Mus musculus: one gene and its partners. The protein of the gene in region 1 binds, or shares a complex with, the protein of each later gene. Links are inferred from orthologs where the notes say so. Each region holds a gene or a part of one and is shown in the gene's direction. Other genes may lie near its edges. The genes, in order: Cwc27, Crnkl1, Snrnp40, Sf3b2, Snrpd3, Plrg1 and Snip1.

Evidence for each region.
Region 2: Cwc27 (region 1) and Crnkl1 share a complex: the UniProt entries of both Homo sapiens proteins name them as parts of the minor spliceosome. The link is inferred for Mus musculus from reciprocal best matches to the Homo sapiens genes CWC27 and CRNKL1.
Region 3: Cwc27 (region 1) and Snrnp40 share a complex: the UniProt entries of both Homo sapiens proteins name them as parts of the minor spliceosome. The link is inferred for Mus musculus from reciprocal best matches to the Homo sapiens genes CWC27 and SNRNP40.
Region 4: Cwc27 (region 1) and Sf3b2 share a complex: the UniProt entries of both Homo sapiens proteins name them as parts of the minor spliceosome. The link is inferred for Mus musculus from reciprocal best matches to the Homo sapiens genes CWC27 and SF3B2.
Region 5: Cwc27 (region 1) and Snrpd3 share a complex: the UniProt entries of both Homo sapiens proteins name them as parts of the minor spliceosome. The link is inferred for Mus musculus from reciprocal best matches to the Homo sapiens genes CWC27 and SNRPD3.
Region 6: Cwc27 (region 1) and Plrg1 share a complex: the UniProt entries of both Homo sapiens proteins name them as parts of the minor spliceosome. The link is inferred for Mus musculus from reciprocal best matches to the Homo sapiens genes CWC27 and PLRG1.
Region 7: Cwc27 (region 1) and Snip1 share a complex: the UniProt entries of both Homo sapiens proteins name them as parts of the minor spliceosome. The link is inferred for Mus musculus from reciprocal best matches to the Homo sapiens genes CWC27 and SNIP1.

Annotation. Positions count from the first base shown.
Region 1 is NC_000079.6:104,814,154-104,818,386, reverse strand, and holds the start of Cwc27 (spliceosome-associated protein CWC27 homolog), read left to right. Parts: upstream 1-1,433; 5' UTR 1,434-1,658; coding exon 1,659-1,700; intron 1,701-4,233. Other genes in the region: protein SREK1IP1, read right to left, coding at 1,021-1,033. UniProt on the Homo sapiens protein: As part of the spliceosome, plays a role in pre-mRNA splicing. Probable inactive PPIase with no peptidyl-prolyl cis-trans isomerase activity. As a component of the minor spliceosome, involved in the splicing of U12-type introns in pre-mRNAs.
Region 2 is NC_000068.7:145,931,901-145,936,194, reverse strand, and holds the start of Crnkl1 (crooked neck-like protein 1), read left to right. Parts: upstream 1-1,494; 5' UTR 1,495-1,590; coding exon 1,591-1,641; intron 1,642-3,229; coding exon 3,230-3,382; intron 3,383-3,857; coding exon 3,858-3,949; intron 3,950-4,294. UniProt on the Homo sapiens protein: Involved in pre-mRNA splicing process. As a component of the minor spliceosome, involved in the splicing of U12-type introns in pre-mRNAs.
Region 3 is NC_000070.6:130,380,632-130,384,131, forward strand, and holds part of Snrnp40 (U5 small nuclear ribonucleoprotein 40 kDa protein), read left to right. Parts: intron 1-2,762; coding exon 2,763-2,883; intron 2,884-3,500. UniProt on the Homo sapiens protein: Required for pre-mRNA splicing as component of the activated spliceosome. Component of the U5 small nuclear ribonucleoprotein (snRNP) complex and the U4/U6-U5 tri-snRNP complex, building blocks of the spliceosome.
Region 4 is NC_000085.6:5,288,956-5,292,455, reverse strand, and holds part of Sf3b2 (splicing factor 3B subunit 2), read left to right. Parts: intron 1-1,033; coding exon 1,034-1,151; intron 1,152-3,500. UniProt on the Homo sapiens protein: Component of the 17S U2 SnRNP complex of the spliceosome, a large ribonucleoprotein complex that removes introns from transcribed pre-mRNAs.
Region 5 is NC_000076.6:75,516,690-75,520,841, forward strand, and holds the start of Snrpd3 (small nuclear ribonucleoprotein Sm D3), read left to right. Parts: upstream 1-1,352; 5' UTR 1,353-1,436; intron 1,437-2,624; 5' UTR 2,625-2,645; coding exon 2,646-2,771; intron 2,772-4,152. Other genes in the region: protein GUCD1, read right to left, coding at 465-507. UniProt on the Homo sapiens protein: Plays a role in pre-mRNA splicing as a core component of the spliceosomal U1, U2, U4 and U5 small nuclear ribonucleoproteins (snRNPs), the building blocks of the spliceosome.
Region 6 is NC_000069.6:83,069,038-83,072,537, forward strand, and holds the end of Plrg1 (pleiotropic regulator 1), read left to right. Parts: coding exon 1-27; intron 28-655; coding exon 656-764; intron 765-1,559; coding exon 1,560-1,699; intron 1,700-2,152; coding exon 2,153-2,346; intron 2,347-3,073; coding exon 3,074-3,133; 3' UTR 3,134-3,254; downstream 3,255-3,500. UniProt on the Homo sapiens protein: Involved in pre-mRNA splicing as component of the spliceosome. Component of the PRP19-CDC5L complex that forms an integral part of the spliceosome and is required for activating pre-mRNA splicing.
Region 7 is NC_000070.6:125,065,320-125,069,471, forward strand, and holds the start of Snip1 (smad nuclear-interacting protein 1), read left to right. Parts: upstream 1-1,352; 5' UTR 1,353-1,433; coding exon 1,434-1,633; intron 1,634-2,687; exon of another isoform or gene 2,688-2,770; coding exon 2,771-2,873; intron 2,874-4,152. Other genes in the region: Dnali1 (axonemal dynein light intermediate polypeptide 1), read right to left, coding at 199-279. UniProt on the Homo sapiens protein: Required for pre-mRNA splicing as component of the spliceosome. As a component of the minor spliceosome, involved in the splicing of U12-type introns in pre-mRNAs. Down-regulates NF-kappa-B signaling by competing with RELA for CREBBP/EP300 binding.

The DNA of each region.
Region 1 (4,233 bases):
CCCCCCCCCCCGAATTCTAGGAGAGCAAGGGTTTCTACCATGCTGACTGCCACACACTCAATAAATGTAGTCACCTCTCTTTTCACAGCTCCTGGAGTGCTCCTCTGCAGAAGTTAGGAAGCAGCCCCACCCCGCAACAGTAATCTCTAGAATAAAGTTCAGAAAAGGCTGCCACGGAACAAAGACAGGGGTCAAACAGTAGCGGGAAGGGGCAGTGTTAAGCAAAGTTGGGGCTTCACAAATAGTTTGAGGGTCTTTCCTACAGTACTATGCACTGTGAATCTCCGAGATGCGAGGCGGGTATATCTCTTAAAAACACCTGCTTGATAATAGGGTTTTACAGAAACACATTCTGACAAAGTCGGCTTGGGGAAGTTCTTAGCGGCTCCCCAGTAAACTGGAGCAACAAAAACATCCCCGGAGCTCAGTTTGCCGTTTCTAGGTTAGAAACCTCTGAACACAAAAGTGGAACCTACAAAGAATCTTAGATCTAATTCGAGAAAGCACTGTCTTGAAACTGATAGGGAAACTGAGGCCCGGAAGGGCACAGCAGCGGGCCTGCAGCCACATAGAAATTACAGGCTGGAAGTGCTAGAACAAGCCTCAGGTGCTCTTCTTGGCGACTTTCAGTATAATGTGTATAGCCACCTGGATTCGGCAAAATGCTCACATTTCGAATTTTATTTTGAAATCGTGTGAAAGTTACAGTCTTCTGGGCAAGTTGTCCCCTTAGGCCTACAGTTCTCATTGTCACCAAGTCCCTTGTCCCTCTTACAATACACTTTCCCTCTAATCCTGTGCAGTTTGGGCTTGTCCAAGAATGACAGAGATGATCTTTCCCTATCTTTCTCACCCCGCTTTGAACTTGTAGTATAAGCTTTTTCATGTAAGCCGACCAAATCTAAATTTTTAGGCCTTCGCCTGATTCCCCAAGTGCTCGCTGCCACCCACCCCCGTGCTCTGGGCTTCCCTGCTCGTCTCATTCCTCTGGAGTGAGAGAGCCCTGCGGTTGACCTTCACCTGGGACTGCCATGATGCAAGGTGAGTGGGATCGTCGGAGTCCTGGGCTTTCGAGATCACGTTAGGTTCAGGTCCGTTGCGAGGACAGCGCATTCCCAAAGGGATCTCTCCCACCCGGCCACTACAACTTCACCGGGCAGGGGAAGGCCCGATGCACATCTAGGGTTGGCGGAACTAAGTGGCTGTGGATGCAGTTTCCAGGGGTGTCCTACCGCGGAGCACACGCGGTCGGAACCATTTCGGCCCGCTTCGGGAGGTGAGTGCTATCTGCAATCGCCTGACCTGGACGCAGCCCCGGGATTTACGGATTGGCCCTTTAGCTCGTATTATAAACCTCGCTACAAATTCTCTAAAGTTGTAGAGGTCCTATAGTCTTTTCTAGTTTCCTGAAGGACAGGGAAGTCCCCCCTCCCGGGGTTAGCGGTGCTCCGGTCCGGGAGCAACATGGCGGCGTCCATGATGGGCTAGTTTGGGGAGTAACTAGTGATTAGTACGGCTGTCTTGTCCGACTCTGACCGAGTGAAGTTTTCCCCCAAATACTCAGGTTAAAGAATTGTGTGCTAACAGGTGGGCCTCGCCGGAGACCCGCCATTCGCTTGCGGCCACACTAAGGAGCGGAGTCCTGAGCACTGAGCAAGATGAGTAACATCTACATCCAGGAGCCGCCCACTAATGGGAAGGTGAGAGCCTTACCTCCTGGACACGGTGACTGGGGGCGGGCAGGGAGGGGCAGCTATCGGGGATTTTAGAGGTGGAAAGACCAAAGGACTCTTCTCCACACCCTGCATATGGCCAGTGTTGCATTTATATTCTTTACGGTGACGTGTCTCAGCATATTTTTGAAAGAGTTCTTGGGCAACCTCCCTATTCGCTAGTCTTCTGACCCCTTAACTTCCTTGATCCAACTCACGTGAGCGCCTTCTAGTGTCTATTGTTTTTAAGACTTATCTCAAGATTGTACACTTTTGCTTGTTGTTTAACTTGGAGATCGTGCATTCTCTACAGTCATTATTGAAGGCCTCTTTGGCACCACGCACTCTACTAGGTGCTGATGATACAAAGGTTGGTATTCTACCTTTATATGTGTGTCTGTATTATAGACACACACACACACACACACACACACACACACACACACACGTATATATATACTAATTCCCTATCTCAGGATTACAGACGTGCATGAACACACCTGCCTTTGCTTGGGAGGTATTGAAGAAGAGATTATATTGCCATGACAGTGATGGAGGGAAAACAGGAAATGATGGGGAAAACATCTTGGAGGAGATATCTTTTGAGATAATTGTCAGTTAGAAGCAGGGGAGGAGTGAGGAATGTTATTTCATAGGAATGGGAGTAGATTCCCTGATAGATTTCATGCTGAGCTATATATTTCTAGAGGACAATATTAATTTTAATGAATAAATGCGTGTAGAGATGAAATAGACTGACCATTCCACAATGCAGAACCTTCACGCTTCATTTCTCTAGTTTGCTATTTTACCTGTTCAAATGTAACAAAGAAGCCTATCAAATAGCAGATCTCAGTGATGCCCTGGGTCTCAGCAATTACCCAGTATTTAACAGTATCTTACCTTGGTTTCTTTCCTATATAGAATGCAAACACTATAGAGTTGAAGATGAGCATCTAGAGCAGTGGTTCTCAACCTGTGGCTCATGACCCCTTGGGTTGAATAACCCATTTACAGGGGTCGAATATCAGATACCCCGCATATTAGATATTTATATTAGGATTCATAACAGCAAGATTACAGTTATAAAATAGCTGGAAATAGTTTTACGGTTGAGGGTAAATACAACATGAGGAACTGTATTACAGGGTCACAGGATTAGGAAGGTTGAGAACCACTGGCCTAGAACATTGCTTTACGTAGAGTTCGTACACTACGAAAGAATAGCTAGGCACATGACTTAATGCTGTTTCTTTAGCTTCTGAGAGGTATTAAGCATAGGTGAGGGTGGAGTTAAACTGTTATTCCTCATGGGCACATTTAGTTGTTTGACTCTAATGACTTCTTTTTTAAGAACTAAAACAGGGTTTCATATGAGTCCTTAGCTGTGCTGGAAACAGTTGTTTACTGTAGGAAATGATTTGATATATCCACAGAGTAAAAGCACTTCTGAACAGGAGCTCATTCATACAACAAGTATTTTTAAAACTTTGTGTGTGTGTGTGTGTGTGTGTGTGTGTGTGTATGTGTGTCTATGTCTGTTTGTGTCTGTGTCTTGTTCCATGCTGGTCCCACTGCACACATTCGAAGGTTCAGAGAATAACTTTAGTTGATGGCCCTTATCTTCTCTCAGCTTAATTAAAGGCAGCGTCTTTTTGTTGTGTGATGCTGCCTGTGCCAGCCTCGCTGGCTTGTGAGCTTCTGGAGAACCTCTTGTCTCCTTGGCTCACCATAGAGCACTGGGATTAAAGACACATGTTACAGAACTCACATTTTAAAAAAGAATGAAAGAAAAAAGAAATCACACAAAGTCCAGGTACTTGTCGGTAATTTTTTAATGTTATGATCTAAGTTTTAATTGTTAGTTACATGGTACCTAGATTAACTAAGCCTGCTTTCACAAATGTCATTTTAAAGATAGCAGTAATAATGTAGAAACTTGGCCAGGAGTAGTGGTGCTTATCTTAATCACAGCATCTGGCAGGCAGAGACAGGTAGATCTCTGAGTACAGGGCCACCCTGGTCTACAAAGCAAGTTCCAGGGCAGCCAGGATTATACAAAGAAACCCTGTTTTGAAAACAAACAAATGTAACAACTTGGTAGGTGTGGCCATACACTCCTTTAATACCAGTACTCCAAGGCAGAGGAAGATGGATCTCTGTGTGTTCAAGGTCAGGCTGGTCTACAAAGCCCCATTGAGACCCTGTTTCAAAAAAAACAAACAAACAAACAAACAAACAAAAATACCAACCAAAAAATCAAAAAACCAAACCAAAACAAACAACAACAACAACAACAAAAAACAATGTAAGAAAAAAAAAATGGTAGCATTGAAGCATAGAAAGCGTGAGAAATCTGTCAAGTCGAAGTTAGGAAGGTTGTTGGGAATACATGTTTCCATTTATTATTGGTAAAATGAGCTTTGTATTAAATATTTGTTCTGTCTTGAAATATTTGTCATTAAGATTATAAAGCCATTGTTTATGCTCTACTGAGGTTTTACAACCATTTTAAGCCTAA
Region 2 (4,294 bases), on another chromosome or scaffold:
CCTGGCAGTGGAGAAATTGGTCATTTTTTAGCTGCTGGAAAGCATGAGTTTTCTCTAAGAGTATAACATTCTGGTAAGTTGACCAAGCTCCAGTAGACCACATATCCAAGAATATCTGGGCAATACGAATTAGTCTTCAAAGGTTAAAAAACAAAAAGACACACAGTTGGGTGAATAGGGAGTGGGGTAGATCTGGGGAAAGCTGGAGGAATGGCTATGATTAAGACGCAAAACTTTCAAAGAAGGAATTAAAAAACAAACAAACAAAATGCTTGATAAAAAGGAGTATTGATGGACAAAGGCTCGAGGGGGAGGATGAACAGGAGGTACCCTGAGGATGTTGACAGTTCCAGGCCAGCCTGGTCTACAGAGTGAGTTCCCGGACAACCAGGGAATCAGGACTACACCGAGAAACCCTGTCTCCAAAACAAAACAAAAAATCTTGCCGTTGTCCTAAATCTCAAGACTGTTACAAAAGTAAACTCTAACAGTTTCTTGTAACTGACACGGGGTGGGGATGGATCGTAGAAAGTCCTTTGAGGGTGGGGAAAGAGTAGGAAAAGCTCACCTTCCCAATTTTGCTGTCAATTCCAAAATTTTTATTTTAAAAAATTATCTTAACTATATGCTAAATCACTGTTTTTAATGTACTTCAGATATTATACGTACTAACATCTAGCGAGTATTTTACAGAGACAGATTTTTTTCTTTAATCTTAAGGAAATAGATACTTTTATCCTTTTATAGCTAAGGATATTAAGGATAAGAGAATTGAGATAATACAAATTTACATGCCGGGCGTGGTGGCGCACGCCTTTAATCCCAGCACTTGGGAGGCAGAGGCAGGCGGATTTCTGAGTTCGAGGCCAGCCTGGTCTACAGAGTGAGTTCCAGGACAGCCAGGGCTATACAGAGAAACCCTGTCTCGGAAAATAAAAAAAAAAAAAAAAAAAAAAAAATTTACAGACTAAAAATTTGATCAGTTTCTGTAGGTGCTTTGCTACTGACTAATTTCCACCTTTCTCTAACATCTTGTTTCAAAAATACCTCTTCTGATTTTTTTTTTAAAAAAATCCACATTTCAAGATTATTAACTTGGTCCAATCGCGGGGAAGCCTAAGGCGAGGGGGCGGGAACTCGAAAGACTACAAATCCCAGAATGCACCGCTGCCCAGGCTGCTTGCAGGGTTTCCTCGGTGCTTTTCCCTTCTCCCCGGAGTTTCTACACCTGAAATGGATTTCTACGCCCCTCAAAGGTGCCACGGCCTACAGCTGCACGCATCCCGGAGATAGACCTGGATGAGCCCTCGCCGCCAGAGCCCTATATCCCTGCGGCGCAGCCCGCCCTACCCACCTCACCCGCAGCTCCAGCAAGCCGCAAGTCTCCACAGAGGACGCGCACACAGTTGCTAAGGAAACGACGCGGCGTTTCCCCTGACTGGTGAGGCGGTCAAAGGTCGTCTTCGCAAGTTCCGGTTCCGGTTCCGGTATCTAGTTTGTTGTGGCTGACTCTGTTGTGCCGGCCGGTTCGAAGTGCTTTTCTCAAGTCCGGTTGTCGGCCAGGATCGCTCGAGTTCCACGGCTGCAGTCATGGCAGCCTCCACGGCGGCCGGGAAACAGCGCATTCCTAAAGTGGCCAAGGTAGGCGACCGGGAGGAGCCCCCGAACAGCATCTGCGGTGTCGGGCACCAGAGATTCGAGACAGCGATCTCTGTGCCGCGGTCCAAGAAGACAGGTGGTCGGTGAGGTGGCGCAGGGTCTTGTCACTCCGAGCTCGTCTCGCGTCTGCCCAGCCTTCCTTCCAGGGTTGCAAAGCATCGGTTCGGTTCGGTAAACTGTTTGCTTTGCTAGTCTCTGGGGATCCCCTACTTTTACTCCGGGCAAGAGTGCTCCACTAAAACTGGAGAGAGAGCGAAATGGCAACCCAGATAGATGTATCCAAGTAGTGTAGATATGCCATGGGCAAGAGCCAGAAGGGTGCCTGTAAACTTGAGGGTAAACTTTGTGAAGGAAGTTAACACTTAGGCTGCATCAAAGTTAGGCAGTGAAGAGAATGGCAGAGGATAGGCTCTGGGCAATGGCATAAAATTTAGGTTAGATAGTAAATTGTTATATTTCCAACTGTGGTTGATACTTCATCAATACTTAATAAGTGTCAAATCTTGCACTTAGCCATCACATACAGTCATTCTCTGGAAGTCTGATTTGGCCATTTTGTCTTGAGACAAGTTCTTATTTCCACATGTAATTATTGTAAAAGTCTGATGTGGTAGCTTCCCCCCTACCCCCGCTCCCAAACCCCTATCCTGAGTCATAAAAGCCAGGGAATGCATGCTGACTAAGTTTTTGACAGCTTGACACAAGATAAAGTTATCTAGGAGGAGGCATCTGGACTAAGAAAATTCGTCCCTAAGCTTGCTTGCTGGCAAGTGTGTGAGGCATTTTCTTGATTACCAATTGATGTGGACGCCCCCCCCCCCCCCGCCTACTTGGGCAGTGCCACACCTGGGCAGGGGCTCTGGTGTAGTCTGTGAGAGCAGACTGAGCACAGCTGGTATGCCTCCAGCTTCCTGCCGTGTCTTCCATTCATGAAGACTGTGGTCCAGTTGTGTAAGCCAATCAGTCAGCTCTTTCCTCTGCAGGTTGCTTTTGTTGGTGATGTTCGATCACAGCAGTAAAAAGGCCAATTAGAACTTAGGGTCCATCTGCACTTGAACACATTTGACTTTTAAGCTCCTGTGTTGGAACTATAGCTTCAGGTGCTCTAAAAGCTTACAGGCTAATGATGGAGACTTAGTAAAAACAAGTTTCAGTTGGCCTAAAATGTCATGGAAAACCAGCTTGTCCACTAGAAGGATTAAAATATGTAGAGGAGTTCTCTAAGCAGGTTATAAAGAGGAAGGAGTGTGATTTTTTTTTCCCCCTGCCCCTCATGGAGAATTGAAGATGTTATTCAAAGATGGCATCTTGGGCACATTCTTAGGAGGGCTTTTTCTTTCGAGACAGGGTTTCTCTGTGTAGCCCTGGCTGTCCTGGAACTCACTCTGTAGACCAGCCTGGCCTTGAACTCAGAAATCCACCTGGTTCTGCCTCCCAAGTGCTGGGATTAAAGGTGTGTGCCACCACCCTGCCATTCTTAGGAAGTTTATGTCCTGGAAAATATACAAGGGTTTTAAAATCTCGTGTGGAGAGCACTACCCAAAATAGGAATGTCTCTTTGTCTTAAAAGGTGAAGAACAAGGCGCCGGCCGAAGTGCAGATAACGGCCGAGCAGCTCCTCCGAGAAGCTAAAGAGAGAGAACTCGAGCTCCTCCCACCTCCACCTCAGCAGAAGATCACAGATGAGGAAGAATTAAACGATTACAAACTCCGGAAAAGGAAGGTGAGTCCGTCAGAATGCACTGTGCAACCTGTCCCAGTTGCTGCCCACAGTGGGAACGAGCTCCCAGAGAGCCTATGTGATGGGACCTCAGGCGAATATTGGGAATTATTTAATCCACGAATATTATGGAAGTTATATGGGAAGTTCTATAAATTACTGAGCACTTGAAGGTAATCTTGAAAGGTGTTTTAACATTCTTGTTCTTAAAAGGAATGAGAGTAGAATATATTAAAGTACTCGTTAATTATTACAGAGAACAGCAAAATCTTGCAATAGCTACCCCTACATTTTTCTTGTCTCCATAAACTTTAGAGAAACACCTGTCACTGATACCCTTCTGGAGGAAAGCTGCTGTTCCTTGGCATCTAGGATATAATTTCTTTTAGGAAGAGTAAAACGAGAAGTGTATATCATAAGGAAAAGCAAAGTCGTTTTCTCTTTACTGTACTGCTCCCCGCCCCCCTTTGCCTTTCAGACTTTTGAAGATAACATAAGAAAAAATAGGACTGTGATTAGCAACTGGATAAAATACGCACAATGGGAGGAAAGTCTAAAGGAAATTCAAAGGTAAAATTGCCATGACTATAGTGTCTGTCTACAAAGAGTGAGTAAATGAGCACATGAAATCTAGGAAGGTAAAGCATGGACCTGTACTGTGCTAGTAATTTCCAGCTTCTCTTCCATGGAGCCCTCTGAGGCAGTGGGTACTGGGAAGGACGGTTGTGGAGTGTCTCGGGAGGGTCTACATATGAGTCTTGCTGCTCTCGTACTCCTGTCACTAAAGAACAGTGTTTTATCTGTTTCCTGTGTTAATTTAATATTGTTTCAAAATAATTGTTTCAAAAATAGAAATGTTCTCCTGAAATCTGTTGTCAAGATAAAAATTGTGGGTGGCCGTCACTTCCTGTTGGC
Region 3 (3,500 bases), on another chromosome or scaffold:
GCAGGCAGAGTGCTATACACACGGTTTAAGAGATGTTAATGCTTATGTAGATAGTGGCTCACATCTGTAGTCTATAGTGCTAGCCTAGGGAGGCTAGGGCAAGAGGATCACAAGCTTGAGAGCAGCCTGGACAACATAATAAGACCTTATCTCCAAAAGAAAACAAAAAAACTGGTAAGTAACCCGAGATGGCTCAGTGACCAGCACTGGCTGTCCTTCCAGAGGACCCAGGTTGACTTCTCAGCACCCACATGGTAGCTCTCGACTGTCTATAACTCCCATTCCAGGGGATCCGACTCCCTCACACAGACATGCGTGTAGGTAAAACTATTGGATATAAAATAAAAATAAATAAACTACAGATAACCAGAGTGTAGGACAGTTTCCACCCCCAAAAAGTTTACATTGTGCCATGTCCCATCCTAACGTCTATCAGCCATTGTGTCTGTCCTGTACTTCCTTCCCATATACGGAGTGTATGAGTGTGTACCTTTGCGGTGACTGGCTTCTTTTTAGTTAAGCTACAAGAATTTGATTCTCCTATCTACACCACAAGGACAGGCAGGCAGGCAGAACCATCTCGTGTTAATGACGTCTTCTGAGTACAAACATAACTGCTGCTGCTGCTGGTCTATGAACCTTGTTTAGTATAGGTCTGAGGTCTGTCAGGTCCTTGTGTAGGAGTTTCCTATCATCTCGGAAGACAGCACGTTACACCTTCTTGTAGGGCAGGTTCTTTGCAGAGAGTAAGTCCTAGCCATTGAATGTTGATATATGCCAGTTTTGCTTTGAAATTTGAACTTATCTCAAATATGAGGAATGTACAAATATAGTCCAAGAATATTGCCTTTAAATTTAGCTCTGTATTCTAGAGTATCCTTCCTGTGTTTCTGGAAAGCATCCTGATTCTCATAGCCATGCAGTCTTATCTTTCTAAGCTAAGTCTTCTGGCTTGGGGTTCACAGTAAATCTGTACCTCTGACTGGCCTTGAACTCCTAGATAGTTCTTGGCCTCTGCTTCTTGATCCTGAGATTAAAGGTGTGCACCACCACACCCAACTTGTTTTGTTTGTCTGGGAGGTAGGTTCTGACACTTGCATCTTCCTACCCGCGCCTTCTGAGTGCTAGTGTTACAGGCATACATTTAAACACTCTCAGTGGGTTTGTGTGTGCGTGCATGTGTATATACATCCTCCGGAGGCAGAAGAGGGTGTCTGATCCCTTGGAGCTAAGTTATCTTGTGGCTTCTAGCCCCCCATTGTATATCCTGGGAAATGCATTGGGGTGCTGTGGAACAGTGCCTGCTTTTAACCGCTGCACCCTCCAGCCCCACTATTCAGATTTCTTACATCATACATGCATTACCCAACTCCTTTCTGAAAAAAAGTAACTGCCTTCATTTAGGGGATGTCGGTTATTTTATTCATTTAGAAAAATTATATGGCAGTATTAAATGAAGTTTTTTGTAATACCAATGACCTTCACAAAATTGCTCATCTTTTTTCTTGTGACATCCAGGCTATTTTTGTTAGTGTTAATGTTTATTTTTTACATATTTGCTTAATCGTCTATTATGTAAATATTTTTATATTTTGGCTTTAGAGTTATTTTTAGGAAATGCTCAATAATATTTAGAGCCTGCCATGTCCCAGGCATATTACAGGCATTCTTATTTATAATCTTTAGAATGGAAGAGCACTTGCCTAGTCTGCCTGAGCCCCTAGGTTCAATCTCTAGCACCACAAAACATATAAAAGACAGACAGACATGTACAGAAGATGTAGATGCTGTTGAGGCTGAGATGTGATTCACTGGTGGTGCACAGAACCCTGGACTTGAACCTCAGCTATAACAAACAGCAAAGGACAGGCACCTAACATATTCTGTGTCTGTCTGCAGAGGAAGCCCAGAAGGGTTCTTTGCATAAATATGCTTTTTCTTTTCTTTTCTACATGTATGTGTGCATATACACATGTGTATGCACCGCTTCTATATTCATATATGTGACATAAGATGGAAAATCTTACACAGTGTTTTCCAGTTTCTTGTTTACATTATATAATAATTTTGGGCATTGTGTTCATTTTGTCTCATTGTCAGTTTTCCTGGGTGTCCCTGGTTGGCCTGGAGCTCGCCGCAGTTCTGCCTGTTTCCCAGGGGATGCTCCTGAATACGCCACTGTGCCAGCCTTGCGCACTTTTATTAGTATGAGGTTTTTTTAATTTTGTTTTAAAACAAAAGTGCATTATATAGTTCAGAGTATCTTTTTTTTTTTTTTTGATCCTTCTGCCTCTCCCCACAAGGGATGCTCTTGACTTGGAGTGGGGGTGAAATGGTCTCATGGCCAAGTTAGTCTGGAACTCTGTGGTGTTCAAACTGACTTCAAAGTCCTCCTTCATCTGTTTCCTGAGTGCTGGAATGAGACATAAATCACTAAGCCTGCCATCTGATTTTATGTAGGTTTTTTCTCATTTCTTAGATTTTTAAATTTTAAATGATGTATATGAATGTTTTGCCTCTGTGTGTGTGCGTGTGTGTGCGCGCGCGAGCGTCAAGTACCAGAAGAGGCCACTGGATCCCCCTTGGAATGATAATTACAGACAGTGACCCGCTATGTCATTGGTGGAAACCAAACCCAGATCCTACACAAGAGCAGCAAACATCCTGACCCTCCGAGCCACCAAAGGTGTCTGCCACCATACCTGGCCTTTCTCTGCTGTTTTTCAGTTTGAATCCTGAATGAAGTTTTGCATTTTTTACAGGTCTGGGACCTACGCCAAAACAAGTTAACCTACACCATGAGAGGCCATGCAGACTCTGTAACTGGCCTGAGCTTGAGTTCTGAAGGCTCTTATCTCCTGTCCAATGCAATGGACAACACAGGTAACTTTGGACAACAGCTCTTCTGGGGCCTTTAACATTAATGGTGTGTGTTGGGAAGTGGTGCTGCTGCTCAGCTAGTTAAGCTACCGGTCATCAAACGTGATTGCTTGAGTTTGAGCCTTGCCTCTGCTCCCAAGTGCTGGGATTAAAGGCGTGCTCAACCACGTCCCGCCCAACGAGTCTTCTTAAGCACCAGGCTGGCTCTGTAGCCCCAGGCCTTTATTTTTGTTTTTGTTTTTTAACTTTTTTTTTCCCCAAGATTTATTTATTTTATGTATATGAGTATACTGTAGCTGTCTTCAGACACACCAGAACAAGGCATCGGATCCCATTGCAGATAGTTTTGAGCCATCATGTGGTTGCTGGGAATTGAACTCAGGACCTCTAGAAGAACAGTCATTGCTTTTAACCCCTAAGCCATCTCTCCAGCCCAGAACCTTTTTTTAGCTAAAAAAAATTGGTTGCCATATTTAAACTTTGATGGATATGACTAATCTGTCATATCTGAGAAATCATTTGGGAATTATTTCTTTGACATTGGGTTTTTTAAGATCCAGGCAGACCTTAAAGTCAAATTTACATTGAACATCTTGCCTCACTCCCCACCGCCCAAAAAT
Region 4 (3,500 bases), on another chromosome or scaffold:
TAAAGATGTGTTCATTTATTTTATGTGAAGAAGAGGGCATCAGATCCCATTAAGGATAGCCATGAGCCACCATGTGGTTGCTGGGAATTGAACTCAGGACCTCTGGAAGAGCAGTCAGTGCTCTTACCTGCTGAGCCATCTCTCCAGCCCTTTGCGGCTAGTTTTATGTGTGTTATTTAGGTGGCTTGTGGAGAATGCTGGCATACCATTTGAGTTGAATTTAAACTATGATGGTACAGATTGAGGAATGCTGTAGGGGTGTCCTTCCCCGCATCAGCTTTACCCAGTGGGTGACTCAAGAATATTAGAAAGTAAGCATTAGCCGCTGGCTGGTGGTGGCGCACGCCTTTCATCCCAGCACTTGGGAGGCAGAGGCAGGCAGATCTCTGTAATTTCAAGGCCAGCCTGTTCTACAGAGCAAGTTCTAGGACAGCCAGGACTACACAGAGAAACCCTGTCTGACACAACCAAAAGAAAGGAAAGGGGAAAGGGGAAAAAAAGGGAAAAAAGGGGAAAAAAGGGAAAAAGGGAAAAAAAGGGAGAAAAGGGGAAAAGGGAAAGGGAAAGGAAAGGGAAAGGGAAAGGGGAAAGGAAAGGAAAGGAAAGGAAAGGAAAGGAAAGGGAACATCAAACACAACATGGAAACATAGAGGAAGTGCTGGAAACATAGAGGAAGTGCTGGAAACATAGAGGAAGTGCTGGAAACAGAGGAAGTGCTGGAAACATAGAGGAAGTGCTGGAAACATAGAGGAAGCTCTAAGAAAATGTCTCATGGTTCTTTCTAATGGTTTCATTTTTGTGTATTAAAACTCATTGAAAAGTAGAAATCTCTTCCAGAAACCAGAAACTTCCTAGGCTTTTTCATATTTGTTTTTAGGAACTTTCCATCATGATAAGTTTCTAGTTAACATGCAAACAGGTGTGGGGAAGATGACCACCTCAGTGTCCCTGTTATTCTCCTTCGAAGGAACCCATTTGTCAGGGCTATGCGCCAAATTCTTTTCCAAGCTGAGTCCGCACTTCTTTCTTGTAGGCAGCTGTGTTAATGGAGCAGGAACGGCAGCAGGAGATCGCCAAGATGGGCACTGCAGTCCCTCGGCCGCCTCAGGATATGGGGCAGCTGGGTGTCCGTACTCCTCTGGGGCCTCGCGGTAAGACCCTGGAGTGGAAGGGCAGAGCAAAGAAGTTGTTCTTAAAACGTTTCCTTTATCTCTGTGTGGTGGCACGTGCCTGTAATTCTGCTGCCAAAGCAGCGGCAGAAGGGAAAAGGTGGTCCTAGAATTTATAGTAAATTCAAAGATGTCTGGGCCACTTAAACCTTTTCTTAATTGTTGTTTGCTTTTGTTTTTTCTGTTTTTTCTTTTTTTAAAGATTGATTTATGTGAGTATACTTTAGCTGTCTTCAGACACAGCAGAAGAGGGCATCAGATCTCATTACAGATGGTTGTAAGCCATTATGTGGTTGCTGGAATTTGAACTCAGGACCTCTGGAAGAACAGTCAGTGCTCTTAACCGCTGAGCCATCTCTCGAGCCCTGTTTTTGTTTTTCAAGACAGGGTTTCTCTGTAGCCCTGGCTGTTCTGGAACTTACTCTGTGGCCAGGCTGCCCTTGAACTCAGTAATCTACCTGCCTCTGCCTGCTGAGTTCTCGAATTAAAGGCACACACCACCATCTCCTGGCTTGAAAACCTATCTTAGAAAGACTAAAAGCAAGCTGGGCAAGGTGATGAACACCTTTAGTCCCAGAACTTGGGAGGCAGAAGGATCTCTGTGAGTTCAAGACCAGCCTGGCCTACAAAGCAAGTTCCAGGACAGCCAGGGCTATTACATAGAGAAACCTTGTCTTGAAAAAATGTTTTGAAAAGACCCAGAGCCTAGAGAGATGGCTCAGTAGTTAGGAACACTTAACTGCTCTCCAAGAAGACACACGTTTGGTTCCCAGTACCCATATTAGATGGCTCACAGTGTAACTGCAGCCAGAGAAAATCCAGCACTATGTTCTGGCTTCGAAGGCCTCTCATGTATACCCACAGACATAGACACATATTATAATTTTAAAAAAAGAAAACAATCAGAGCTGGAAAGGTGGTTTAGTGCCCTGGCTGCTCTTCCAGAGGACATGACTGACATGTGTAGCAGAATCCCTACACATAACATAATAAACTTGGCTGGGCAGTGGTGGCATATGTCTTTAATCCCAGCACTTGGGAAGCAGAGGCAAGGAGATCTCTTTAGTTGGAGGCCAGCCTGGTCTACAGAGCCAGTTCCAGGACAGCCAGGGCTACATAGAGAAACTCTGCGTGGAAAACAAAAACAAAAAACAAACTAAAAATAGTAAGTTATTAAAAGTCTTAAAACAAAAATTTCTTCTACTGGGTTTGAACTTAAAGCTCTGAACACACTGAGCCTGAGCTGGGGCATTTGGCTATATTCTCAGCACTTCAGAAACTTGTAAATACAATGAGCCCTCAGTAGATTGTGGATCTATAGCTAAGCACATTTCATATAACTAAGTGGAAAGTAAAACAAGTATGTTGTATTTGGGCTGGAGAGATTTGTAAGTAGCTCTTGCAGAGTACCCAAGTTCAGCATCCACATCGGGTGGCTTGCAGCTGCATGCAACTCCAGGAGATCTTACGTCCTCTTTGGGCTTGTAGGCACTGCACTCCTGCATATTCTCCCACATACACATACATATAATTAAAAAATACCTATTTACAACATTAACAGACTTTCTTGTCATCCCCTAAGCCTCAGCAGAATTATTCACATAGCTTTGCATTGTAGTGGGCATTCCAGATGGCTTTAAATACAAAAGTACTTATAGAGTCTGTGTAAATCCTGTTTTTTATGAAGGCCTTAAGTATCCTGATTCCAGTATTTGGGTGGGGTCCTGAAACAAAGTTTCTCTGTACCAAGAGACGTGTGTGTGTGTGTGTGTGTGTGTGTTACTGAGGCTGGAGAGATTGCTCAGTGGTTAAGACATTTGCTGCTCTTGCAGAGGTCCCAGGTCTGTTCCCTGCGCCTACCTGAGCGGTCATAGTCACCTCTAACTCTGCTTCTTCCTGGGGATGCATGGCCTCTTCTGACCGGTGCACATACATCCATGAAGACAAAAAACCCATCGGATCTATAAAAAGTTACTTGCTGAGCTTGGTGGTACATACCTTAAGGAGCTGATCTCTGTGAGGTTGGGTCCAACTTGGTTTACAAAGCAAGTTCTAAGACAGCCTGAGCTACACGTAGTGAGGCTCTGTCTCCCAAAACAAAACAAAAACAAAAAAAATGATTACTTGTGTCAGCTATGACTGTGCACATCTGTAACCTGTAACCCTAGTGGTCAGGATGTTGCAGAAGGATCCTGAGTTTGAGCAACACGACTCTACCTCCCAAAACCCAAAGAAAGGCTGGAGAGAGAGCTCAGCTGTTTGGAGCACTTCTACTCCTGCAGAGTGCCCACGTTCAGTTCCCAGTTCCCTCATGCTGGTTTATAAACAGCA
Region 5 (4,152 bases), on another chromosome or scaffold:
ACAAAAAGCGCTGAGAAAAAGATGTTCCCTTTGCTGGGTGCTCCCAGGCCATTCTTTTCCCCCTCTTTCCCGCCCCTTTGCTGAGAGCTCTCAAGCCATTCTTTCCCCCTCTTTCTCGGCCTCAGGCTTTCCACAGTTCCCCGGGGAATAGGATCACCCAACGTGCTTCAAGCAGGGCTATTCGATTCTGGACAAGGTTGTGCCTTTTTGCCCCTTGGACTTTTCCACTTGACGGCTCTCAGCACTCCCTGGGCTTCAAGCCCCAGGAGACTCAGGAACGACCCTAAGTGGAGGACAGGAGATGAGAAGGAATATCCACCTAGCTAGGACCCACTAGAAGCTCCAGGCTGGGCTGAGGCCGCAGACGACCCAAGGTCGCGCGCGGCCAGACCCTGCCCGGCTCTAGGGCGGAGTCCCCCTCCGTTCCCCCGGTTGAAGGCAAGGCCCTGAAGAGAGGCACTGACCGGGCTCGAGCGGCTGCCCCGCTGCCTCTGCCTCCGTCCTCATGACCCGGATGGCGCAGGGCGCCCATGGCCCCGGCCTGGAGCTGATTGCAGCGGCGACTTCTGCTGGGCAGCGAGCGCGGCCAGTGAGCGCAGAGTTCCTCCTCCTCCGCCTCCGCCGCCGCCGCCGCCACCGCGGTTCAGAGCCGGGTAGGCGGTGGCTAGGCCGCCTCAAGCCACGCCTAATCCCTTCCAGGTCTGGGCGCTGGAAACCCGCCCCTTCCATAAGCCACGCCTCTTCCCTTCCACCCCCACTTCTCCTTCCAGAACCCGCTACCCGTAGGTCCTTCCCTGAAACGCTCCGGGGGCCCCTCCCCCTCCCCGAGCCCCGCCCCTCCCCGAGCCCCGCCCCCAAAGCCCTTCCCCTAGCGACGTGGGCTCCCCACGCTCTCCCTCCGCTAGGTCTGTTCTTCTGCAGCCTCAGATGGAAGCTCTGGTTCTCCGCAGTGCCTTATCGAGACTCCAGGGAACACTTTCCCGACTCCTTTTAGGTCTTCTTACCCAGACAAGGAATAATGAGAGTTCCCAGGGCTCAGTGCGTCCCTTACCTGCCGGTGGCCGGATCCAAAGCTTAAATCTCTAGTCCAAGCCTCACTTCCTGTCTCCCCAGAGCACTGGGCTCAAGCCCAGATCCCGCCCAATCCGCCACTACAGTACTCAGGGTTACCATGTTCCCTTGTTGGGCTCCAGGATTGGTGTTTCCGGCGGTCCCCCGGGCCCTCTCCGGTGCCGGAACTATTGTGCTAGAGCCCTGGTTTCCCCAGCCGGCTAAGTGAGAGTGAAGGGCAAGTAGGCTTAAAGGAAAGGGAGGGGCCTGCGCAAGGCATTCTGGGAGCGCGTGGTATTCGTGAGAGTCGGGCCGGTCGTTCTCTCGCCTTCGCCTTCTAACGTTTGTGCCAGAACCGGAAAAAAAATAAAGCCTGCAGTTAATTGGTGAGGAGAGGCGGCTAACGGGAGAGAGGAGGCCAGGGCTTCCCCAGGGGGTTTAGGAGCTGGAAGGGCCGCTGCGGAGGAGCTCAGCGGGGCTTGCTTAGCGGAGGGCGGGAAGCCAGGGCCTATCCAAAGCTCATCTCCCGAACCCTTGAACAGTTATTAATTTACGCCTAGTCTGCACGTTCGGTGCCTTCTCAGGTCACCGATTTCCGAAGCTTACGGGCAGTCATTTCTTGCTAATTACCTCCTTTCCTTTTGGATCATCATTTACAACGTCCCTTTCATCCCTGCCTCCACTCCCATTCCTGCAGTGGCCCTCTTTTCCACGCTGCTGCAGAAGTTTAATCAAGTTGCCGTGCTATATGTTCGATCCACTTTGTAGATGCTACTCTTTTTTTTTTGAACCTTTGGCTATCATCCTGCAGTGTTTCCCTACCATTTTCAGCATGGAAACCCACACTCCTAAAGTTGAAAGCCGTGGTTCCTCACCGAGAGAGAGAGACTGTGTTTAGCATCCTTACAGTCTTCTCATGCAAATAAATGGTGTGCTCCGGTTTTGAGTCGTTTCCAATCTCAGCATTTTAAAAGCCCTGTGCATAGTCTTTGTCTTGTAGTGAGACTTAAAGTCGAGCGTTTACCCTATTTCTCTGCTTGATGAACATTTCCTATTTATAGCACCGTAGCCTTGACAGTTTTGGTCTGCTTTTTGGTGGGGATTCAAAACGCTGGATTGAAAAGCGCAAGCTCTTTTTCCTAGCTTCCTTGGGGCTCAGGTCTATATGTACTATTAGGTTCTGTAGCCTTTATCCAAATGTGGTGGCTGACTACTTGGGATATTTCTGGTGTGACTGAAAGACTGAGTTTGCTTTTATTTGCATTTTATTTAACTCCATGTAAACAGTGATTTGTTTACACTCCGGGTCTATATCATAGCCCTTTTAGTGACTATAAAGGGTCATATGGCTGGGATGAGAATGGGGGTAGTACTCTTTGTTCCCATTACTTTTCATTGTCCAGCTTACCATCCTTCCCTACCCTACGTGTTGCGCTAATTTGCTGTGGTGGTTCCTTGAGGCCAAGAGCCACACTCCTTCCACAGGAAACGCAGCTCTTGACATCATTTACAAAGCCCATGGCGTGCCAGTCCTTAAGCTCTGAAAGATGACCATCGTCTCTCTTTCCCTGTAGCCCGGGAAGAGTCCTGCCAAGATGTCTATTGGTGTGCCGATTAAAGTCTTGCACGAGGCTGAAGGCCACATAGTGACGTGTGAGACCAACACCGGGGAAGTATACCGAGGGAAGCTCATTGAAGCAGAGGACAACATGAACTGTCAGGTATCCTGCTTGGCACCAGGGCTGGGAAAGGGCTGTGGCTTCTATCCTGTGGGTAGAGCGGTGTACTTGGAGGTCTTAATGAAGTTATTCTCATCAAACAGTTATTAACTAAGTACTTATTACCTGTCAAGCACTCTTACAGGCTCTAAGATTTTATGTCAGTATAGACTTAGCCTTGAGGCAGAAAAGTCATTTGACAGCCTGTGGTTGTACGTGTGTATCCGAGCACTTGAGAGGCTGAGGTAGATTCTCGAGTTCAAGGCCAGTCTGGGCTTTATAGCAAGACCACACTGCTTTTGGTAGGGAGTCAGAATGCTGAATTGAAAGCACAATCTCTTTTCCTAGATTTCTCTGGGGTTAGGTCTATATTTACTGTCAGGTAGCCTTTAGCCAAATACAGTTGCTAAGTACTTGTCTATAAAACAACCAGTTAAGTTTCACTTTTCTGTCTCAGAGTCGGTCAGGTTCAGAGCCAGTGTCTGCTTCCCAGCACAGTGTATAATTTGCAGGATCTTCTACTCACGTATTGTGTGTGCTTACTTTTGTCTTGGAGAAAGTTTCATCTGATAAAACTGCCAAAGTTTTGGCATATGGTTTGGGGGTTTTCCCCATTAATTAAGAACTTGAGCTTTGGAATCAGAGAATTCCCTGATTCCAAATTGAGTTGGGCCATAATGATAGGACCTTGGGTATCCTGGTCACTTGTTCTCCCCTGAATAAAATGAGGATGGAGTTGTTTTGGATCCTCTGTGCTGTAAATGCCAACCCAGAATTAGATACACCAGAGACTTTGGGGAGGTGGCGTGAAGGACGCCAGTGACCGAGCAGGATTGCGGAAGTGATTGGTTACTTTGCTTGTTGCTGTGATCAAATTCCTGACCAAAGCAACTTAAGGAAGGGGGAGTTTATTTCGACTCACAGTGTGATGAGACAGTCTGATGCAGAAGAAGTCATGGTGGCAAGAACTTGAGGAGGGTACTAACTAGTCACATTGAATCTGCAGTCAGGAAGCAGAGATGAGTGCCAGGACTTAGCCCAGTTTCTACTTTTCACCTCCACCTAACCTAGACAATCCCTCGCAGACACGCCTGTCCCTTCAGTAATTCTAAATCCATCAAGTCGGTAATATTAATCATCGTAGCAGGAGGGTCTTCAGTCCAGGAAAGGAAGGCAGAGTGAGCAAAAGGAGCCTCAGGCTACAACATGGTGCTGAGGAAGTTTCACCCAAGTAAGAGGAGTAACTGGAGCCAGTAATGGACTGGCTCTGATGTTTCTGCTGTGGTCAGTCCCTGGCAGCCTGCTGGAAGGGCTGTCGCAGCGTGAATGCCCTGGCAGGTCCCCCAGAGTGGCAGCTGGAGGGTGCCAACCTGTTGTCTCCTGA
Region 6 (3,500 bases), on another chromosome or scaffold:
AGGCTGCAGAGCCACAGATCATTACAGGTACGATCTGCTGCTCCCCCTGAGCCGTACCAGAGGCACGGCCGGCCATTCTGCAGCCGCCGCAAGCACCTCCACCTCCGACCGACTCGCGTTCTAGTTTCTCTTTGGATTTTAATCATGGGCATTTGAAATTTAGGATTGCAAGGTGTTTTCTAGGGTTTTTTGTTTGTTTGTTTATATTTTTATCTTGTGTTTTTTATGTATCATTACATAAAAAGGTTAGGCATTGTAACCTATCATTCTAGTATGAATCTTACTTGAATGACATTGGATCTTAACTGTGACTGGAAAGTCATTCTTTCAGTTGGTTTGTTTTGCTAACTACAGATTTTAAAATAAAAAGATTCATTTTTTCCCCTTCCCTGCCATTGGAGTTTAAAATTACATATTTGTTTTTATTTGCTCTTTATACTTAGCCACTCTCTACCGCCTCTGGCAAAAAGTTAAAAAGAACTAAATATAGAATAACTACAGTTTTAGGATTTTGAGGAAATGATTCACAGTGATAGGACTTTCATTTAGTGTACACACACACACACACACACATACACACACACACAGACAAGTACATTGTGTTTAATGGGTTTTAACTTGTGGATTCTGTCCGGTCTCTGTCTTTTCACTACAGGAAGTCACGATACCACAATACGATTATGGGATCTAGTGGCTGGAAAGACACGAGTGACACTGACGAACCATAAGAAATCAGTGAGGGCTGTGGTCTTACATCCGCTACTGTAAGTGTGCTGTGCTGATAGCTTGCCTTTCTCCGCGTCTCAGTGACGCTGAGGCCAGGGGGGCCTGCTGTACCTCTGCCTGTGCTGCTTAGGACGGCCTTTCAGTTCCCATCTGCTGCTGTTGCCTCGTGCTCTGTGGAATGAAGGCCATAGCCCCTCTACAGAGTGACAAATAAGGCCAAGTTGTGGTTAAAGCTGAATGTCAGAGTAGGCGGGAGTCGTGTCTGGACATACAGGGTACTGGACCCACTTTGACCTGTCCAGATTGTTTCACATATGGTGTCCTGTCAGAGACAGAGCAGAGTTAGATTCCTAAGGGAGAAGTAAGTGTGCAGGAAATGGAGGGAGAGACATCAGCACTGCGGTTCCCAGAGAAGGCAGGCCACTCCTGACTCAGCTCATCCCACACACATCCCCCAACCCTCCCCCACTGCTCCCTGCGCCTTCCCTTTCTTGTCCCCTTCCCTTCCTTTCCTTCCTTTTCTCTTGTCATCCCTCTCTTTCCTTCCCTTTCAAGATTTTTTTTGCCCTGTGTGTGTGCACATTTGTTGGGCTAATTAGTGTGTAACACACTAAAGAAAACAAAACACTGCTCTGGGATCTAAAGTAGTACATCTCAGCAGCTGGACAAGGCTGGTGGAACTTGGAGCGAGGATAGTGATGAGTTTGTACTGTGGTGAAGTTACATTTTACTGAGGCTGTCTGGAGCAGTGAGCACACAGAGCTTTTTCAAAGCTGCGAGTTTTCTTTGATACAGTGTACTTTCCCATTAATTCCTGTCAATCTTTGTTCTAGTTACACATTTGCGTCTGGTTCTCCAGATAACATAAAGCAGTGGAAATTCCCCGATGGAGGCTTCATTCAAAATCTCTCTGGTCACAATGCAATCATTAACACGCTGGCGGTCAATGCTGATGGAGTGCTTGTGTCTGGAGGTAACACAAGGTTTCTATGGTGTGTTGAGTGTGCCCTTCTGTTGATGTGAGTGAGTTAGTATCTAAAGCATCACACTGTTGTAGTGACACACCTACTAGGGTGTATGTGCCTGTTTGTAATGTGCCTGCCGTCGTGCTCAGTGGTGTTCCATGCAGCATGTTGCATAGTTTAGACATCTTTGCATTCCCATGTGATGAAGGTAGGGATTTACGCTAGGAACTGCCTGATGTTTGGTTGGATTTTAAATGTTATGGTGTCTATAAATTAGAGACTTAGAGGGAATTAGAGAGAGAGGGAGGGAGGGAGGGAAAGAGATAGTGTGTGTGTGTGAGTGTGTGTGTGTGTGTGTGTGTGTGTGTGTGTGTGTGTGTGTGTTGCTGGTGTAATGTTCAGCTCCTGGGTCATCTGAGCTGTTGAGGGGATAGAAGTAGAGCTGTGTGTTTCCCTTGCAGCTGACAATGGCACCATGCACCTTTGGGACTGGAGAACTGGCTATAATTTTCAGCGCGTCCATGCAGCTGTACAGCCTGGGTCTTTGGACAGTGAGTCAGGAATATTTGCTTGTGCTTTCGATCGGTCAGAAAGTCGGTTACTAACGGCTGAAGCTGATAAAACCATTAAAGTTTACAGAGAGGATGAGACTGCGGTAAGTTCTTAGTGTCCATCTCTGTCTGTCTGTCTGTCTTCCTATCTTCCTTCCTTTTTAGTTTAATTTAATTTTATATTTTATATTTAGAGACAAGGTATCACATGGTACCTCTGGCTGGCCTGGAACTCACTTTGTAGCTCAAGTTGATTTTAAACTTGAAACTGTCTTCCTGCCTCTGCTTCTCCGATGCTGGGATTTTGGGCATGAGCCAGCACACCCAGCTTTCACATGCATTTTAAAGTAAAAGAATTGCATGTCAATTTGACAAGGACTGCTCATTTGAGTACAAAAAGAAACAGACTCACTATAGTACCATCAGTTTCATCCTCTGGATAGTGATCTGACCTGCTCAGGGCTTCTGTGTGGTTTCATTGATGCAGACACATCAGTGATAAAGCATTACGTTTTAAGTACAGTTCTGCCTCAGTACAGTTCCTGGGAAGGAAATGATACATTAATCGTGGCAAACAGGAGACTGCTGAGGGAAGGAGGGTAGAGGTAGAGCGCTGGGGTTGCTGTAATAGCTAAATGGAAATCCAACCGAACCCATGTATCCCTGGTCAAACTTGGATAATGCCAGAAGTTTGTCAGCTGTTTCTAAAATTTTTCAAGAGCCACTCAGCACGTCCTGCCAAGCAAGTACTATGATTTAGCAGAGACAGATCTTTTCATTGAAAGGAAACAAACTAATAAAATCACACTTTGTTTACTGTTCTGATTTTAGACAGAAGAAACTCACCCAGTCAGCTGGAAACCAGAAATTATCAAGAGAAAGCGATTTTAGTGTCTTCATGGCTGTCCTGTTCGTGCTTGGTGTTGATGAGGATATCCGGTCTTTCATGAAAGCTCACTTGCAGAAAACATTGCTGCTTTGTATTTTACAATAAACTGCTCCCATGTCCCTCACCTGTGTTTTATTTCTGAAATAAACAGTTTATAGTTTTAGAAGTAAACGGTAAATATAAAGAATTCAGGCATGTTGAGGATTGTTGTTCCTAACACTATTTTGACTGGGTTTTTTTTGTTTGTTTGTTTGTTTTAGTTTTGGTTTTTATTTTACATGTATAGGTGTGTTTTGCCTGCATGTACATTTGTGTACAACATGTGTGTCTGGTGCCGATGAAGGCCAGAAGAAGTTGTCAGATCCCTGA
Region 7 (4,152 bases), on another chromosome or scaffold:
TTCTCATCTTAAATTTGTCCTCTAAGGTCATAGCTAGGCTTCTTGTTCTCTTCTCCCAACCTCCATCCCTGTCCCAATTCCCTTGGCTGTCAGCCCCAGCAATCTGTCCCCTGAAATTCCAGAGATCCTCAAAGCTGGGATGTCTTTTCCCCATGGGAGTTTGTAGGATCTCGCGTCCCCTGAGACGCCTGTTCATACCGTGGGGCTCCGTTTCTCTGTATTCCGGCTCACCAACACCGGGGTGTCATATTTGAGCAGAGAGTCTGCTGGGGGTATCATGGTGGCAGTAGGGGTAACAACTCCGTAGCGGCCCCTGTGGAGTCTTGTTTGCGATCACCATGGAAACCCCTCCTCTCCTTGCCCCATGGATGGGGCGGGGCCTCTGAGGAAGGCGGTGCCGGCCGCGTGCAAGTTTTGTTCTACTGTGCTTTCTCCGCAAGCACTAAGTTTCTTAGTAAAGAAGACTGGACCCCTAGCGTTAGGTCTGTTTCGGTTTATGATGAAATGGACAGACCACCTTTGATTAAAACGGAAGTCATCTAGTGACTCTATAGAGTATTTGGCGACGATTGGCATTTGGAAGCCAGAGGCTGGCAGATCTTTGTGGATTCCAGGACAGCCAAGGCTATATAGAGACACTATTTCAAGAAACAAAAAAGAGTTTCACATTGTTGAGTGTCTGTGTTTCGTAACTACTAATAACGCGCAAGGAACAGAGCTGGGTTAGCTTTCCCACAGGTTTTTTTCTTTTTTCAAAAAAAAAAAAAAAAAAAAAAAAAAAAAGCTGGGCGATGGTACCACACACCTTAATGACAGCATTTGGGAGTCAGAGGGAGGCAGAGTTCAAGGTCAGCCTGGTTATAGAGTGACTTCTAGAACAGCCAGGGTACACTGAAAACCTGACTATGACGGGGGGGGGGGGAGATTGTCATATATATTTTTTTGAGGTTCTGGGGACTAATCCAGGGCTTCGTACTCGCGAGGCAAACGCTCGCTCGGTAACTAAGCTACAATCTCAGCCTTCCCTCCCCTTTTAACTCTTGATTTCTATTTGGCGGTGCTGAGGATGAATTCAGAGCTTTGCGATCTATCCGAGCTACAACTTTTTCAGATTTTGAGACAGTTTCACTAAATTGCCCAGGTTGGCCTCGAAATTACTGCGATCCTCCTGCTTCAGCCTCCCGGGGGGTTGGCCCTGCCTTTTCAGTACTCCAGCCACACCTCCCAGCAGCGGGGACCCCGTGGCCACTCGCGCCGGCGTCCCCAGCGTCTGAGACTCAAACACCTGGGGCCCCGCCCATCAGGGGGGCCGACACCGTGAAGGCTTCTGGGATAGCGCGCTGCCCGGAAGCGGAAGTGCAAAGCTGTCCGTCACTTCCTACGGCTCAAGTGGCTCAACGGACCGTGCAAGTGACTCTCGGTCGGGCCGCAGGATGAAGGCGGGGAAAAGCGAGCGGGAGCGGAGCGGCCGGCGGCGACACCGGTCAGGCGACGCTCTGACGACCGTGGTGGTGAAACAGGAGCGTCTGAGCCCCGAACCCGTCGCGCACCGCCGGCCCGACGCTCCAGCCGCTAGCCTGTCCCCGCCCGCCGCCGAGCCTGGCCACTCGGGTCACCGCGGGAGCCGAGCCCGGTAAGCGAGCCGGTGATTGGGCGGAGGACGGGATGGCGCGGGGGCCGGTGGTGCGAGCGGCTCTGGAGTGCAGAGCACCTGTTGAGTTGAAATGAGATTTCCCCCGCCTGCCCGCGAGTGGATGGTGCGAGTGGCTTCTCCCCTCGTCTGCCTACAAAGACACGTTGGGTCTTGGCGACTTCTTCGCAGCACTCATTCGCCAATGCCTCCATGTGGCATCGATTTATTGAGTGCGTAGTGTGGGTTAAAGATCAATTGGAGGTACTGGGTCACAAGGCAAAGAAGAGAGATGCTTTTTCCTTGGCGAAGTTGGGCAGGCTCTAACTCGAAGAAGGAAAACAACAAATAGATAATTTCAGTCAGTATTAAAGACAGATCAAAACGGCAGTGTGGTAGCGAGAGGCTGGGTAGAAAAAAGAGAGGGCTTGTACAGAGGTGCTCCTTAACGGAGACCTGGCTGGTAGGATTGATCCATTCTCTTGAGTCAAGAGTCTTTTAGCAAAGACTCCAGGAAGGACCAACCCACTGTGGTCGGGCATGCTTGTAACCCAGCAGAGGGGATGCTGAGACAGGAGGTTTCTGAGTGTATACACACAAACACGGCGCGTGCACGATTATGACAGAAAAATATATACATAGAACCTGAGCTGGAATTCTGTTTGTTTTAGAAGTTGAACAACAGCAGCAACAAAAACAAAAACAAAACAGCCAGCATATCTGGAATTGAGAGATGGAGCAGCATTGTAGGCTGGTAGGAAGGATGTGGGATGGAGGACAGGGCAGGGCCCTGAGACCTGCCAAGGGATTGGTTTTGGTTGTTGGAGAAGGGAGTTGTGTTAGGGAAAAAACCAGGCTAGATTGGCTTCCTGGATAGTAGTGCCAGATAGTAGGATGGCGCATCCGGAGAAGAAAGGTTTCTGAGGCGTTGGGGTTGGAGAATAAGGTTGTCTAGGTGAGAAGGCTTAGCAGGCCATTGTGTATGTGGTTGGGAGAAGTGTTTATGGGAAGTGAAGGCCTGCTGTGGCTACTGATCTCACAGATGTGTTGTGTTTAGTAGGTGAGCCTGATCCTGGAAGCTAACTTACTTTCGGGAAGGAACTTTGAGGTAAAAAATCCTGTGTACCATTCTCTGTAAAGGTCCCCAGCCAAGAAGAAAAGCAAGTCCTCTGGGAGAAGAAGCAAGTCACCACGGACCAAGAGAAGCCAGAGTCCCCACTACCCCATGGTCAAAGTGAAGCAGGTGAGTGAGTGAGTGAGTGAGTGGGCAGGGACCATGGGTGGAAAGCTCCAGCCCAGAGCTGTTGCTGAACCCCAAGAGGTTGGCAGCCAGGTGTGGACATGCTTCCTTGTCACTGCAGTGGGCTTTTCTAAAAATGGGATATGTATTTGGGGCTGTTTTTCCTGAAATTTTAACGTTTGGAGACAATTGTTGATTTGATTCTGATAACTCTTGTCAGAAATAATACGGAGAGATGTACATATCCATGTTTCTCTCAATGGCAACTTCTCGCACAGCTGGACAGTGTCGTGGTCAGGACACAGACGTTTCACCACCATCAAGGTGCCTCATGATGTCTGATACTTCTCCGCCTTTATCCTTCCTTACCTCCTGGCTGGCCGCTTCTCTCTTTCTATTGTTCTGGATGCACACTTAAGCCCAGGGTCTTTAGGTTAGAAGATTGTCCTTGGTGCTGTTGAAACCAGCACAGATGGGTCACGTTGGGTCTGTGAGTGCCCATGTGCTGTAGGACCAGTTTTTCTTTTTCTTTCTTTTTTTTTTTTTTTTTTTTGAGACAGGGTTTCTCTGTGTAGCCCTGGCTGTCCTGGAACTTACTTTGTAGACCAGGCTGGTCTCGAACTCAGAAATCCGCCTGCCTCTGCTCCCGAGTGCTGGGATTAAAGGCGTGTGCCACCACGCCCGGCTAGGACCAGTTTTTCAAAGGACATTGGTTGTCTCCATTGAATTATTTTACTCCCACATTGAAACTCAGTCAGGTATATGTCTATCCATGCAGACTCGATTACTGCACTTGCATAGTAAGTCTCAAACTGAATGTCCTCTTTGCTGCATATGAGCTGCCATGTGGGTGCTAGGAATTGAACCCAGGTCCTCTGGAAAAAGTAGCCAATGCTCTTGTCTGTTGCGCCATCTCTCCACACCACCCTCCTCTTTTTCTTTTTTTCCTTTTAGCTGTTCTGGTTCTTTCGTCTCCATCTCTATGTAAATGTTCGAGAGTGTGTGTGTGTGTGATAAAAATCTTTTAAAAATAGTATTTTTTTGCATGTGTATGAGTGCTTTCCCCGCCCCTGCATGTATGTGTATGCACTGTGTATGTCTGGTGCCCACAGGGTCCAGAAAAGAGTACCAGAGTCTCCAGAACTTGAGTTAAGGCTGGCTGCAAGCCACCTCATGGGTTCTAGCAACTGACCCAGCTCCTCTGGAAGAACAGAAAGTGCTCTAACTGTAGAGTTACCTTCTAGATTCCTTAGTAACATCTCGAAAGAGGCAGGTGTTGTGG